2 linked regions of the Rhinolophus ferrumequinum genome follow. The protein of the gene in region 1 interacts with the protein of each later gene in a pairwise test. Links are inferred from orthologs where the notes say so. Each region holds a gene or a part of one and is shown on either strand. Other genes may lie near its edges.

What was found. The genes of interacting proteins can lie anywhere in the genome.
Region 2: the proteins of PPP1CA (region 1) and RANBP9 interact in a two-hybrid assay, tested with the Homo sapiens proteins (2 studies listed by BioGRID and IntAct). The link is inferred for Rhinolophus ferrumequinum from reciprocal best matches to the Homo sapiens genes PPP1CA and RANBP9.

The regions. Positions count from the first base shown.
Region 1 is NC_046294.1:4,830,821-4,837,773, forward strand, and holds the start of PPP1CA (serine/threonine-protein phosphatase PP1-alpha catalytic subunit), read left to right. Parts: upstream 1-3,863; 5' UTR 3,864-3,953; coding exon 3,954-4,008; intron 4,009-4,525; coding exon 4,526-4,657; intron 4,658-4,810; coding exon 4,811-5,041; intron 5,042-5,582; coding exon 5,583-5,687; intron 5,688-6,088; coding exon 6,089-6,312; intron 6,313-6,394; coding exon 6,395-6,529; intron 6,530-6,601; coding exon 6,602-6,712; 3' UTR 6,713-6,953. Other genes in the region: TBC1D10C (carabin), read right to left, coding at 1-116, 249-314, 894-1,008, 1,207-1,313, 1,398-1,505, 1,721-1,820, 2,510-2,661. UniProt on the Homo sapiens protein: Protein phosphatase that associates with over 200 regulatory proteins to form highly specific holoenzymes which dephosphorylate hundreds of biological targets.
Region 2 is NC_046292.1:80,648,924-80,656,461, reverse strand, and holds the start of RANBP9 (ran-binding protein 9), read right to left. Parts: upstream 3,050-7,538; 5' UTR 2,722-3,049; coding exon 2,163-2,721; intron 1-2,162. UniProt on the Homo sapiens protein: May act as scaffolding protein, and as adapter protein to couple membrane receptors to intracellular signaling pathways. Acts as a mediator of cell spreading and actin cytoskeleton rearrangement.

The DNA of each region.
Region 1 (6,953 bases):
CACTCGGGCAGGTAGAGCAGGGGCCCGACGCCCACCTGCTGCAGGTGTTTGTGCACACGCGGGAGCAGCCGCCGCAGCAGGGCCATGAACACCTCAGCATCCAGCTGCACAGCCTCCTGCGGCCATGTCCGTCAGCACCTCCACTCCCAAAGCCCAGCAGGCTCTGCCCCGCTCAGTCCCCAGGCCTCCACCCACCCATCCACCCAGCCCCTCCCCCTGTGCCCTCTGGCCTCATCCCAGACTCTTACCATGTGGGGCCCGTAGTAGCCTGGCAGGTAAAGCTCACAGATCTGCACCAGGCACCAGAAGGCCTCCTGGAGGTGGAGCACAGGCCATGAGTGCCCACCATGGAGGGGCCACAAGGGGAACCGCAGGGCAGGGGGAAAGGGTGCAGGGGAGGGCCTGGATACCATCTGCAGTGACTGTGGATCTAGGTGCCGGGACTCAGACCTGGGGGCGCTCTTACCAAAAGCCTCCCCTGCTCATGGGTCACAGGGCTCAGGGTGTTGAATTTGAGGGTCACAGAATCGAGGCTCACTGGTCAAAGGTTGGGAGGATCCCAAAGCTCAAGTCCTGGGTTCTTGGGGTCATTGGTTTAGGGATCATGGTGACAGGGTTCAGAATCAGGAGTCAGGAGGTCAAGGTGATAACATGCAGACTCCTATTCACTGGGGCAAGGGGCAAGGGGCAAAGGTCCCAGGTTCCTGCAGTCCAGGTCATTGGGCTTTAAGGTCACTGAGGCTGGCAGTCATGAAGCCCTGGGTCACTAGGACAGGATCTGGGGTCAAGGATCCCAGGTTCCTGACATCAGAGTCCCTGGGGTTGGGAGTCACGGGTCACTGGGGTTGGGGGTCAGGGTTTCGGGCCCCTAGCACAGGGTTAAGGGCACTCACCTCTGGGGGCAGATGCATGAGTAGCACGGCAGCCACAGGACCCTGTGCCTGGCAGTAGCCCTGTTCAGGCCGATACAGGGTGTAGGCCTTGAGTACCTGCAGGAGCCCCTGCTGCCTGTGCCAGAAGACCCCATTAGGGATCAGTCCTCCTGGCATCCCTTTCCCCTCTCTGCAGCCTTTGCCCAAGCCTCACCACCCCCAGCCTTGCTGGCTCCCCTGAGATGCAAAGACATAAAGCTGGGGTGGGGAGGGGCTGGGCCAAAATGCCTGGGGTTGTGAGGCTGGGGGTCCCTGGGCATCACTGGCCTCGTACCCGTGACCTTGGGGAGACACAAACATCTCGTGCAGAGGGAACTGGCGGTGCAGGTCCCTGCCGATGGTCTCCATCCACTGTGGATCTCCCGGAGTCTCAGCCAGTTCCTGTGGGTAGGCAGGAAGGTAGGTGGGAGGGCTCAAAGTGGCGAGGGGCTCTGGAAAGGGGGGAACCCCTGCCAACTCTTATACCTGATAGATACCAGGGCTGTTCTTTTGACACACATGGGCCCCACACAGCAGAGGCCAGCACCGGGCACGCAGGGCTGAGGGGATGCCTTTCCGGCACTGCATCTTTACCTGTGCGGAGGCCAAGGGACCCCATTAGGCCAGCAGGGCCAGCCTCCCCTGCTCCTGCTGGCAGGCCCCAAACACAACTTAGCATCAGGCAAGGGCCACTTTGGGTGGTAGGGAGAAAAGACAGGACACAGGAGGGGACTAAATTTTGCCAGGGCCTGGGCTGAGGCAAAGGAGAATAAGCCAAGACGGCCTGGGTGGGGCCATTCTCCCCTCACCTTCTTGTACCGCCGAGACATGGTTTTCTCCCAGTGTGAAGTCATCTCCACCCACTTCATCTCACGTTGACGGATAAGGTCTGCAGAAGGGTGACCAGGCCTGGGAGCACATGGCATAGACATCCAGGCGCCAGGCAGCTGTTACCTACAGCCCACATCTGCCACCCTCATGCAACCTAAGTGAGCCCCTGGGGGGTGACCTGTCACCCAAGAGTTGCCAGTGGTTGTCATGGGGACAGGAAAGGATGTGGCTCCAATGTGGGTGGAAGCAGGAAAGACTGAAAGGGGTGTGTAGGTGTGCATTGGGGGAGGGGCTGGTTGGCTGTCCCCCAGGATAGGGACACAGACAACTCACAGGGGAAGCTGTGTGGACTGAGCCCTGTACTAGAAGCCAGGAGTACTGAGTTTGAGACTGGTTCAGTCTCTGATCTGCTGTGTGACCTCAGGCAAGTTCCTTCGTGTCTCTGGACTTTTTATCCTGTCTGTATATTGGGAAAGGGGGAGGGTGGAGAAAGAAGTGTGGGTTCTGTGATTTGGATTTGGGATTCCTGGGCCAGAGGTTAAAAGGGAAAGGATGTTCAGTTCCCAAGGTGGGTCCAAACCCTTGGGGTTTGGGGGTAAAGAGACAAGGACACCCCGGCCCAGTCCTGCCAGCCTTAGGAGGGGTGACACTTGCTAAGTCCCCAGACCCGCCCAGGACCCTTGAGGTTGGGCCTCATTCTAGAATTCAGCTCTCAGCCCCTATCTTCAATCCAGGACCTCCCCCACCCCCATTCCTTCCCCACTTACCCTGGCTCTGCTGCGCTGCCTCCAATGAAGCCATACCGGTCGGCCCGGCGATATGGGCCGGGCCCACTCAGCTCTGAGTCAGACCCCAAAGAACTGGAATCATCCTGCAGCTCACAAGCCTGCACCAGGTCCTCACCCAGGGCCTGGGCCATGGTGCCCCAGACCCCTGATGCAACAAAGAGGCTGCAAGATGGGAGAACCAGTGAGAGAGGCAGCTCCTGGCCTGGCCTCCCATCCAACCGGTCCTCAGCCTCAGGTCCTGGCTGTGGGGTTGAAGGGAGGAGGTTTCAGGGTATCTCAACAAGCCCCTTGTGTCCCCACTTCTATTGGTGGGAGGGGGTTAGACCCTGAAGTGGCAGAAAGGCCAGGCCTCTGTTCAGAGACCCAGCCCCTGGCCCAGCACCCCAGCTTACCTCCCAGAAGCACCTCACCTCCTCCTCTCACTTCCTCCTCAGACACAGCTTCAGCTACCCACTGGGGGGCCCCTCCCCAGTGTGTGTGGGGGGGTTACCCCTTCCTCTCTGAGGCTTTTCCGGCCTGCCCCAGTGCCCCTGGGCTATGGGCTCCTCCCACCAACCCAACCCTGTACCCTGGGTTCTTGTGCCGGGCTTGATGGGACCAGGGACTGCTGGAGGTAGAGGCCAGGCTGCCTCCTGTGGAGGATACTGGCATATAAAACACTCAATTCAGGGTTTCAATGAGAATTATGGTTTATTTAATGTTTGCTCTTTAGAAAGTAATACTTTTAACATGCTCACAATGCAGTTTGTGCTACTCAAAGGCAGGCAAGGATGGGATTTTAAAAAATTAATTTAGATTGCACCACAGGCAGTATGAACTAAAATGGGCTCGGAGTTCTATGGAAGCTGCCTGGGTTTGGTCAGCCACCTCGGGGGCCACAAAGACGCAGGAGGTAGAGGTCCTCTGTGAATGTGAGGCCAGGTATTGGACCAGCCCCTTGTTATCTCTGAGCCTCAGTTTCCTTTTCTGTCCTTTGAGGACTTAATCCACAGTGTTTGGGGAATCTATGATTAACGTGCTCACGCCAGGTGGGAAGTTCGGCTGTTCCGCCTGTGAAAGAGAAAAACAACTTCCACAGTATTTCCGGTCCTATATTCTCAGAAAGAGGCTGAGTAATTCTCAGGGGCGGAACCAGACTCAACCTCACCCCACAAAACCACGCCCACCGACCAGGCCCCGCCCCAGGCACATAAAGTACCGCCCCGTCACCGAGCCCCCGCCTCCCGCATGGCGTCCAGCGGAGGCGCTAGAGAGCTGGGGCAGCAGGCAAGGGAAGCCAGCGGGGTGGGGCGGGCCGGGGCGGGGCGGGCGGCCGAGGAGGCGGGCCGGGGCGGGCGGAAGGAGCGACAGGCCGGAAGGAGGCATCGGAGGGCGGGAGGCAGGAGCTGGCCCGGAGCTGCTGGGCCGGAGCGGCAGAGCCGCCATGTCCGACAGCGAGAAGCTCAATCTGGACTCTATCATCGGGCGCCTACTGGAAGGTTGGCTGGGGTGTGGGAGGTCAGCGTCCGCCTCGCCCTAACCCCCGGCCCGGCTCGGCCCGGAAGTTGCGCGCGGGCGGGCCTGCCCCTCCCAGGGCTAGCTTAGACTGGGCGGGGACGGGCCGCGAGGTTCCGCGGCCGCAGCCGCCCCCCCACTGGCGGCGCACCTTGGGGGCGTCTGGGGCCCTTCGGGCACGGGGAGCAGCCCCCTCCTCTGGACCGGGGACGCACCAGTTGGCCTGGGCTCTTGGGGTGAGGGAAAAATCTAAGAAGCCTGTCCCCCCCACCCCCGGAAAGGGGTCCTGCGTTGGGGGGTTTCGGCCCTTGCGCACAGCAATCCCCTCGAGCACCTTAAGGGTAGTTGGGGTCCCGTCCTGGCAGGCTAAGCAGCAACAGCTTCCCGGGGCAAGGAGGGGCCCAGGAGGCCCAGGCGCCGCTAGAAGTGCCCATGGGGCACCTGTGCCGCCCACCCTCCTGTCTGAGGAACCAGGGTCCTGACGCTCCATTCCGCCTCCAGTGCAGGGTTCGCGGCCTGGCAAGAATGTACAGTTGACAGAGAATGAGATCCGTGGTCTGTGCCTCAAATCCCGGGAGATTTTCCTGAGCCAGCCCATTCTTTTGGAGCTGGAGGCACCCCTCAAAATCTGCGGTGAGACCCCTGCCCAGGCCCTTTTGCTTCCTGAAGGTGTCCTCGCCCCCCCCTCCGCCCAACCCCTGGATCCCTCTTCTCTTGAGCCCACCCTGGCCCTGGGTTCAAGTCTAGATCCCGCACCTAGTGCTGACCTGCTTCCCTGGGTCACAGGTGACATCCATGGCCAGTACTATGATCTTCTAAGGCTGTTTGAGTATGGTGGCTTCCCTCCAGAGAGCAACTACCTCTTCCTGGGGGACTACGTGGACCGGGGCAAGCAGTCGCTGGAGACCATCTGCCTGCTGCTGGCCTATAAGATCAAGTACCCCGAAAACTTCTTCCTGCTCCGTGGGAACCACGAGTGTGCCAGCATCAACCGCATCTACGGCTTCTATGATGAGTGTGAGTGGGCTGCGTGCCTGGGGCTGCCAGAGGCCTGAAGTTCTCTCCCCACTGTTTGGTGGGACCCTTGCGTTGACTTGGTGGTAGGAGTATCGGCATCTGACAGATAACCTGCTAGACTGTGAGTGTGGGGAAGGCAGGGCCCTGCCCGACTGCCCTCCTGCTCTGCTGCCATGGGGCCTGGCCCTCAGGAAGGGCCGACCACAGTGTAATACAGGGTCCTGTCTGGTAACATTCCCTCTCGCACATCCGTTACTTAAGCACTTAGGATGCCTATGTGGCCTGGACTCTGCTGGCCAGAAGCTGAGATTAACCAGATCTGGTCTTGGCCTGGCCCCGCTCACAGGGTGGAGGTGGGTGCCAACCCTGACGTTCCGGATTGGAACTCGGGGGTTCCTCCTGGAAAGCTGGTAGGCAGTGGGTTTCCCTTGCGTTTCACGCTCCTCTCCCAGCTGTGTCTGGGAGGCCTTGGGGGGCCCACAACCCTGTTGTGGGTTGGATGGACAGGCCGCCTCACAAGCCATCTCCTTCCTCTGGGCAGGCAAGAGACGCTACAACATTAAACTCTGGAAAACCTTCACCGACTGCTTCAACTGCCTGCCCATCGCGGCCATTGTGGACGAGAAGATCTTTTGCTGCCATGGAGGTGAGGACGGCTCTGGGAAAAGCCCAGCCACATCCCTGGGGACCTCGGGATGAGGCTGTTTGCTGGAGGACGTGTTCCCAGTCACCTGGAACAGCTTTCCCTGGGGTCTGGGCTTGGATGTCCCCCCTCGCCAGTGTTAGGCTGTACTCTCTGCTGTTGTGGCCTCAGCATTGTGCGTGGAACTTAGAAGTTTCCTTTCTCTAGGGAGCTCTGCGCTCCTAGAGGGCAGGGACTTAAACAGGCTAAGGCGGTGAGTTCTGCCGACCTGGGCTTCCAGGAGTCCAGGAGAGGGCCAGGTGGTAGTGGGGGGAGGCAGAAGCTAATTGGTCAAGACTTTCTGGAGGAGGGTGGCCCTTGTTTTGAGGCTTGTTTGAGGAAGTGACCTGCCCCGTGTCCCTCAGGTCTCTCCCCGGATCTGCAGTCTATGGAGCAGATTAGGCGTATCATGCGGCCCACAGATGTGCCTGACCAGGGGCTGTTATGTGACCTGCTGTGGTCTGACCCTGACAAGGATGTGCAGGGCTGGGGCGAGAACGACCGTGGTGTCTCCTTTACCTTCGGGGCTGAGGTGGTGGCCAAGTTCCTGCACAAGCACGACTTGGACCTCATCTGCCGGGCACACCAGGTGGGCTGGGAGCTCTGGTCTGGGTGGGAGTGGGGCCTGGGCAGCCAGCACCTGCTGAACTAACTGCCCCGTCCTCATCCAGGTCGTAGAAGATGGCTATGAGTTCTTTGCCAAGCGGCAGCTGGTGACACTCTTCTCAGCTCCCAACTACTGTGGCGAGTTTGACAATGCAGGCGCCATGATGAGTGTGGACGAGACGCTCATGTGCTCCTTCCAGGTAGGGGTGGGGAAGGAAGGGGCTGGTGGCCCATGGCTCAGCCCCGTGAGCCTGACCAGTTCTCTCTCTTAGATCCTCAAGCCCGCCGACAAGAACAAGGGGAAATATGGGCAGTTCAGTGGCCTGAACCCTGGCGGCCGGCCCATCACCCCACCCCGCAACTCCGCCAAAGCCAAGAAATAGCCTGTGGGTGCCCGCTGTCTGCCCCCGAGGGTGGACTGTGCAGCAATCTCACAGCCGTGGGGGTCACACTGGCCCCTGGGCCTACCCATCAAGGGAACACGGAGCCTTGGTGTATTTTTCTTTTTTTTTTAATGAATCAGTAGCAGCGTCCAATCCCCCAGGGCTCCCCCTGCCTGTGCCTCGGTGGCTGCAAGCAGGATCCTGGGGCTGAGGCTGCAGCTCAGGGCAAAGCAGGGCCAGG
Region 2 (7,538 bases), on another chromosome or scaffold:
CCCAATACATTAAAATAACAAGACAAGAGGAAGAGGCAGTAGAAGGGGAAAAAAAGAGACTGTATTTGTGACAAGGGGGAAGGGAGAGACAAAGGGGAGATAGAAGAGACGGACAGAAAAGAAAAAGGATGACAAACAACAAAATCTGTTCTTCCGGAAATAATGGTTTATGTTTATAAAAGTGAAGTTTCCAGAAAATGAATCTTAGTGTTACACAACAGAAACTAATAAAGAAGCCAACAGGAAAAATAATTGAGAGAGCAGTGTCATAAATATTCCAAATTTCAACCAATTTCACATACGCATGTACTTTGACCCAAATCATCAATTTCATGTAAAAGGAGTTGGTAAAAGTAATCAAGCCATGTTGCAGTGCTAAATAAACTGTAATCATGAATCTTAGCTATCATGGAAATTCAAAGCTGGAAATTTCCTCCCCAACTATCCAGCTCAACTCCCTCATCACTCAGAGGAAGAAACTGAGGCCCTGTTTTGTAACGTGTCTAAAAATCACAAATGACTGCAGGACTCAGGAAAGCTAGGATTCTTTGTTCAATAATCTTCTGTATCTTCTACCTCTGGTTTTATAAGCTAATTATTAACCATCAACCATAAATTTAAAAAGTTTTGTCAAGACTAACAAAAACCTTTCTGATGGCCAGATCAGAGGTAAACACTATAACGTACCTAGCACTGTTCACACAAATTAAAACACAAAATTAAATAAATAATAGCCTTCACAGGGTATAAACAAAATGTCGTAACAAGAAAAACCAAAGGTCCAATATTTTGAAATTTTCAGCCATTTAGACTAAGGAGCATATTTAAAATTGAAAGTTCTCTCCATCTATGGTATGGATAAGAAGAAATATTCAACAAGGCCTATTTTTGTGCGTGATTCCTTGCAGCCAAATCATTTGGTAAATTTCTGTCGCCATTCTCCTTTCTGATTAAACAGTAACTTATTTATCAAGGCTGTTCTCAAATTTCAGTCCGGTATACTTTAAGAATTTAACCACAACGATTGTTTATACCCTCTATATCCATGTCACTAGGATCTGATTAAGACCCTCCCTTTGTAGCCAATCAAAATGAGGCTGCTTTGAATGTAAAAGCTCCTGATTCAGGTTTGGGGCCTAAAAAACTGGATTTGTTTCCAGACTGACCGATACGTTGGATTGTTCCTTCCCCTCCCCCACTCACAAGTAAACTTGACTCATGCAATTAATTTGGGCTACGTTTCAAAAATTCCCATAGCAATTTACAATTTTATATACAGCTGATCTGCTTAAAGCTTTGTTTTAACATAGCAGAGCTAGATGAGGGAGGAGGGAGACAAGCAGAAGACTAAGGCTTTTTTTTAACTGCAGGTGTAAAACACAAGCCAATTTTTAAAAACAATACGAAATAACGTTTTTTAGAAGATCCTTGTTTTCAACCACATTTCATATAATGCCAACACGTAAATATATAGAGCATTTCCAATCAGCAGTGGTAGGTTTCTGCTCCCCGAAGAAAACGCGGACTCCTGAGGTTTCACCTCTCTTACCCTCCCAGTTGCTTTTAATAAGAGCTACTGATGGCAAACTTGGGCCCCTTGTCCTTTTGTACCCCCTAGACGATCTCTAGCCTAATTCTGGACGAAATCTCCACTGATTACTCCTCTCCCTATATATCCCTGCTCTCCCTTAATTAGAAATTATACCTCAGAATCGTGTCCCCCCCCCCGCCCCCGCGCCCCACCACGTAAGAGGAGAACGCCTGACCCACCGCCACCTGGAGAACAATGTAACCCAACTCCGAGTCCATGGATTCCTCCATCCAAGCCCTAAGATTTATCTTCAAGGGAAATCAGAAAGCGAGTTGTGTCCTGTCATCCTGGATTCCCTCAAGGTGTCCTACCCCTGGCCTAGGATTACCCGCTCCATTATACCGAGGAGCAGTATACTCACCTTCCTTTTCCAAGCATCTGGCCCCTTTCCCTCGCACCTTTCACCGCGACCCCCATCCCACCCTCGGAGAAGCAGCACAGGCGGCGAGTCACCTCCGAGGGCACCGAGCCCCGGGAGGGAGGGGGTCGCGGGCGGGTCGAGAGTCGGCAGCGGCGGCAGGACACTTCGGGTCAGTGGCCCCACTCCCACCGCAGGACACACGCCCAGTACCTTTGTAGTGCACCCGCAGGTTGTTCTGAGAGAGACCGATGTAGCTGAACTTGTCCTTCGGGCTCCAGGACCGAGGCAGCGGCGTCTCCTGCTCGTCTACCGCCGGGTAGAGGCGCTTCAGCCGCCGCTGCAGCTCCTTCTCCTGCTCGTTCAGGGCCGAGTCCCCGTGCGGGAAGGGGGCCGCAGCACTGCTGCCCGCCGCCAGGGCCGGGGCGCCTGCGGCCGGGCCGGGGCCCGCGGCAAGACCCGGGGGCGCTGGAGGCGCGCTGGCGGGGGCGGCAACCGAGGAGGGTGGCGGGGGCGGCGGGGGCGGCGGCGGAGCCGCGGTGGCCGGGGGCGGCGGCGGTGGCGGCGGCGGGTGGAGGAGCAGGGCGGCCGCCGCGGCCCCCAAGCCTCCGCCGCCCCCCGAGCCGCCGCCGGGCGAGCCGACCGGAGAGGAGCCGGCACTGACGGCTGGCGGCGCCGGCAGGACGACTCCGGAGACTGGGGCCACGGCCGCCGGGGGCGGCGGCAGCTGCTGCTGTTGCTGCTGCGGCGTCGGTGGCGGCTGCCCGGACATCCCGGCCGCGACTCAGCCTGCGGCCACCTCTACCTCTTCTCTCCTTCCTCCTCTGCTTCCCGGGGGCGCTGTCGCTGCGGCCGCGGGCACCAAGCGCCCAGTCCGCCCGCCCCGGAAGCAGGCGGCGGGCCGCGCGCCGGGGGAGAGCGCGACGGTTGGGGGGCTCGGAGACTGGGAGTGGGCTGCGGGCCCGGGGAGGCCTCGAGAGAACGTTGGCCGGAGCGCGGGCGCGGGCCCTGGCCGAGGCGCCGAGGGCGGGGGAGAGGCGGGAGCGCGGGTGGAGAAAGCTCGGTGGCAGCCGCCGCGGCCGCTGCTCTCGCGGCTGTTTCCCGGCGGGCGGGCCGGACCGGCGCGAGACGCAGCGCGCGGGCGGCGCTGGGCGAGGAGGCGGGGACGGCGCGCGCGAGCAGCGCGAGGGGCGGGGCAGCGTGGGGTGGTGGGGGAAGGTGTCGGGCTCGCGGGGGTCCCGGGGGTGGCGTGGGAGGAGGCGCGCGGCCCGGACGGCGCAGTCTGGTCCCCGGCCCGCAGGCCGCTGGCGGACGAGACGCGCGGCTCCCGGTGCAGGGGTCCCTGCGGAGTCCCTGCCTCCTCCCCCGCCCGCCCGGGCCCTCCCCGGGAGAATCTCCTCCTACTTCACTTCTTTTTGTTGTCGTCGCCCCACCTCCCCACCGTAGGGTTCCCGCTGGAGTGGCGGTGCTGCTTCTCGCCCAGGCGAAAGTAATCGAGCCCCGCTGGGGCGGCCGCGAGCCCGGCTGCTGGAGCCCAAATCGAGTCCCCGAGGTGAGCAGTCTGGAGAGTGCCCACGGGTTCCCCAGGACAGGTTCCTTCTGGCCGCCTCCCTCTTTATGAACCTACTGCTCTTCGTATTTCACAGTATTTAACACGTTAACATTATCACAGTGGGGATGGAAACCATTTCTGAACGCAGAGTCTCCCACTTAAAATTGTGAGCATTGTATTAATTAATTTTATGAGGACTTAAAGTGAACTTGTAGTGGTAGATGGTGTTAAGAGGAATACTGAAACACTGGCATATCTTCAAAGACAGGAACATGATCTGTATGAAGACAAGGTAATAATGTGTAGTTAGGAAGGGCTTCTAGAGACGTCAAAACATTTTATAGACTCGTTAATTTTCGTAACAGGCTTCTTTGTTAGGTAGCAAAGAATTATGCCATTTTTAAAACAAGGAAATATTCACTGAGGTCAGCAGAGTCAAAAATAGGACTTCCTACTTTGCAATTCCCAATAAGTGCTTTGCTTGGTCGACTAATTTGCCACAATTTGCCAAGTGTTGCTCTCTGACCCATCCTAGCATTACTATTTTGTTTTCACCACTTCCCTTTGTTTGCATTCTCCTTTCCTTTGCTGGTAAAATTGAGCTTTACACGTGTGAACTACATGATATAAATTCTGGTATTTTGTTTGCTTCCAAAGAAATGAGGATGGTAATTGTTTGGCCAAATAAGAAAGAACTATTTGCTGAGTAGAGAATTATTTACTTTGTTTTGGTGAGAGTAGGTAAATGGTGATTTAACTGAAGGCCCTCGGATGTCTGACCAGAACTAATAGTCCTTTAGTCTAATTTCTCCCTCAGTTACCCAGACAGCTAGATGCCCTGTTGTTCTTTAATAAAAATACCCAACAATTCTAACCTATTGTTTTGTGACTTTTTCCAGTCACTGCACTTTAAATCACAAGATATCCTTGTATTGAACTTGTTCTAAAACTTTCATTTATATTTCAGTAACAATGAGTTAGGTGTAAGCCAGTCTCTATTTAAATGTTATTTAAAAGGCTGGCCAAGGTAGAAGAAATGGGTTCCAAATGGGTGTCAACAAACTTTCTTGAAATCATCATCAGGGTTTTAATTATGAAGGTGTACTTTTTTCTGTTAGCACACTTTGAAACTATTTAGAACTTTGCATGTCCTGGGAACGGTTGAGAGAATAAAAATGTCTGACATTACGTCGAAAGCCTTTTATAGGAGTGACTGGTTGTTCTCCAAACAAGCAATCTCAAGAAATTAATGATTTCAATTTGCGGGAGGGTGATGTGAAATAGGCACTAATACTGACGGTGGCAGAGAACACTGATAACGTCATTTTAGAAAGCTACCTATTTGATGATAGTTAGCAAAAGACATGAAGGTGTTCACGCCTTTTGACTAATTCCCACCAAAAAATCGAAACCAAGTAACAAAATCTAAACTGTGGAAGAAATTGAGGCCTACAAATGTTCAACAGGAAAGTACTGATAGACGAAATAAGGAAGCAAACTAAATGCTCAACATGGAGGGACTAATTGAAGAAAGCATCGAATGCCCCATTCAATGGAATTAGGACCGCAGGAACACATATAGCACATTTGTTCAAATTTGGTTTTTGTTTTTTTTAATGCACCCCCTTTGGGCAGAGGAATTGCCAAAAGAATGAGGCAAACCAATAGAAAGACGCTCCTCCCTCTTGACTTAGTGGATATTGGGCTCAATTTCAAACCCACTCTCTCCAGTTCTCTTTCACAGGAACAGGCTGAAGTAAATGTTACGTGGCCTCTTAAAAATGGTTGAAGACATGGGAAAGTGATTTAGATGTGCTAAATGGAACAAGGCTATGCAATTATACATTGCCAAAATTGTTACCAAGAAGACATGAAGGGAAATCCCAAAATATTTCTATAATGGACAATTGTAATACATAATTAAAAGTAAATTTTTATTATGAAATATTAAACTTGTACATAGAGATATAAGTAATCCATTAGCTTTTAACTTCACACTCTTTTTGCACCTGTGTTTTCAGTCTTGACCATGTATTGCTATCATGTTGATGTATATCTATCTGGAGGTTCTCATAGCCAACAATAGGAGACAATTCTGGCTTTCTTAAGCAGCAGAAACTTACTGGAAAGATCCTGGGTGGTTCTCAGAATTGACCAAAAGGCTGGACAACCAGCCCACATTCAAAGGGAGGGGATAATAAAAGGGCATGAATTCTAGAAGGCAGGGATCTTGCAGGCCATCTTTGAAATCTGCTTATCACAGGGTCGTTGCAACTTCCGGTGAACCCAGGAGGACTGCACTTGCCACATACACATCAAATATGACTCTAAGCCAGGGATTGGCAAACTTTTTCTGTAATGGCTAAGATACTAAATATTTTAGACTGTATTGGCCATATGGTGCCTGTCACAACTACTGAACTTTGCCATCGTGAATGAAAAGTAGCCACAGACAATCTATAAACCAATGGATGTGGCTGTGTTCCAATAAAACTTTATTACAAAAAAAAAAATGTAATAGGCTGGTTTTGACCTGCAAGCTGTACTTTGTGATCTCTGTTCTAGATCACTTTATCAATATTCCTTATAAACTATTCTCAACACTAAATGACAAGACCAAGACACTGGCAATGAAATCCCAGGACTTAATAAATTCCCTTTATTACCAACAATGCTGCTGCACCCTTGTCCTGGACAAGCTTAATGCCGTATGCGAATGGAGTCAAGATTTTTTGGCAGCTAATGTGTGGTAAATTGGAATGGGTGGCAAGTGGCTGAACAATGCTAAGAAACTACAGCAGGATGGAGTCTAAATTGGGAGCAGTGCTCTGTCAGCATTTAAGCCACTATTATGTATGGAACCCTGTGTTAAGTTCTGGGCATGGAGTAAGGAAAAGAGGAAAGAGGGATTACAAAGACGAACGAGGCAGTATTGAACCTGTTCCTGCAGTGAATAGAGTGGAGTTGGAGAGGCAAGATTGGTATACATGAATTAAAGCAGTAAGCTTCTCAAACCTGAATGTGGGGACTGGCCGAGGGGGACCCGAGATTCTGCATCTCTAACAGGCTTCCAGGTGATGCTTTTGCTTTTCGTCCATGGACCATCCTTTAAATAGCAAGGACTTCGAGAAACAGTTAATGCTCTTTAGAAACAAAGGCTTCAAAGAATCCGAGTCCAGGTAACAACATCTAATGAGGGAGAACTTCGCGTGCTGTCTCAGCCAGACTGGGAAGGTGGTGCTGCCTATAACCGCAAACCAAGAGATAGTATTTCTGGGGCTTAGAGTTCAGGGTGAAAGGATCTGCGGAATCCCATGGAATACACATATTCATGTGTGAATATAATCATTACAATTCAGTGTTCGTTAATAAAATATATGTGAAAACGAAAAGTTATTGAATTTAGAGGAAACTATTAATCTATTCTAGAAGAATTTAAACAAAAATGGCAAATTTGTCTTAAAGAATGTGAGCTATCAATTATTTCACAAGTTAATCTAACAATCTCTTGATTTTCCTCTTAATTTTTCCTTCTGCTTTCTCTAGTCCACTGTAACGCTTTCATTTGTCAAAACTCACATTTTTTTCTTACAGATTGATTTCTGTATCCCCTCTTTCTTGTTTCCTTATAGCGATATGAAAAGTCCATCCAAAATGGAGTAAAAGCAAGAAGCAGGTAGCAGAAACTCACTTCCTTTGCAATGTTTCCCTCCGTGTTGTCGAGTAGGCACGATGAGGTTCTTGATGGAGTCATGGAATGGGAAGGCTGCCCCAGAATTTCCCTGACTTCCGGTCATTGCTACCAACTGGCCTGTGAAATGGCCATGGATTCAGTGGATTCTGTAGGGTGCAGGCAGCCAAAGGAATGGTGTTTTAGTACATTCGGGCTGTTAGAACAAAGGGCCATGGACTGGGTGGCTTATAAAGAGCAATCATTTATTTCTCATGGATCTGGAGGCGTGGGAAGTCCATCATCAAGAAACCAGCAGATTCAGTTTTCACCAGGTGAGAACCTGCTTCCTGTTTCATAGATGGCC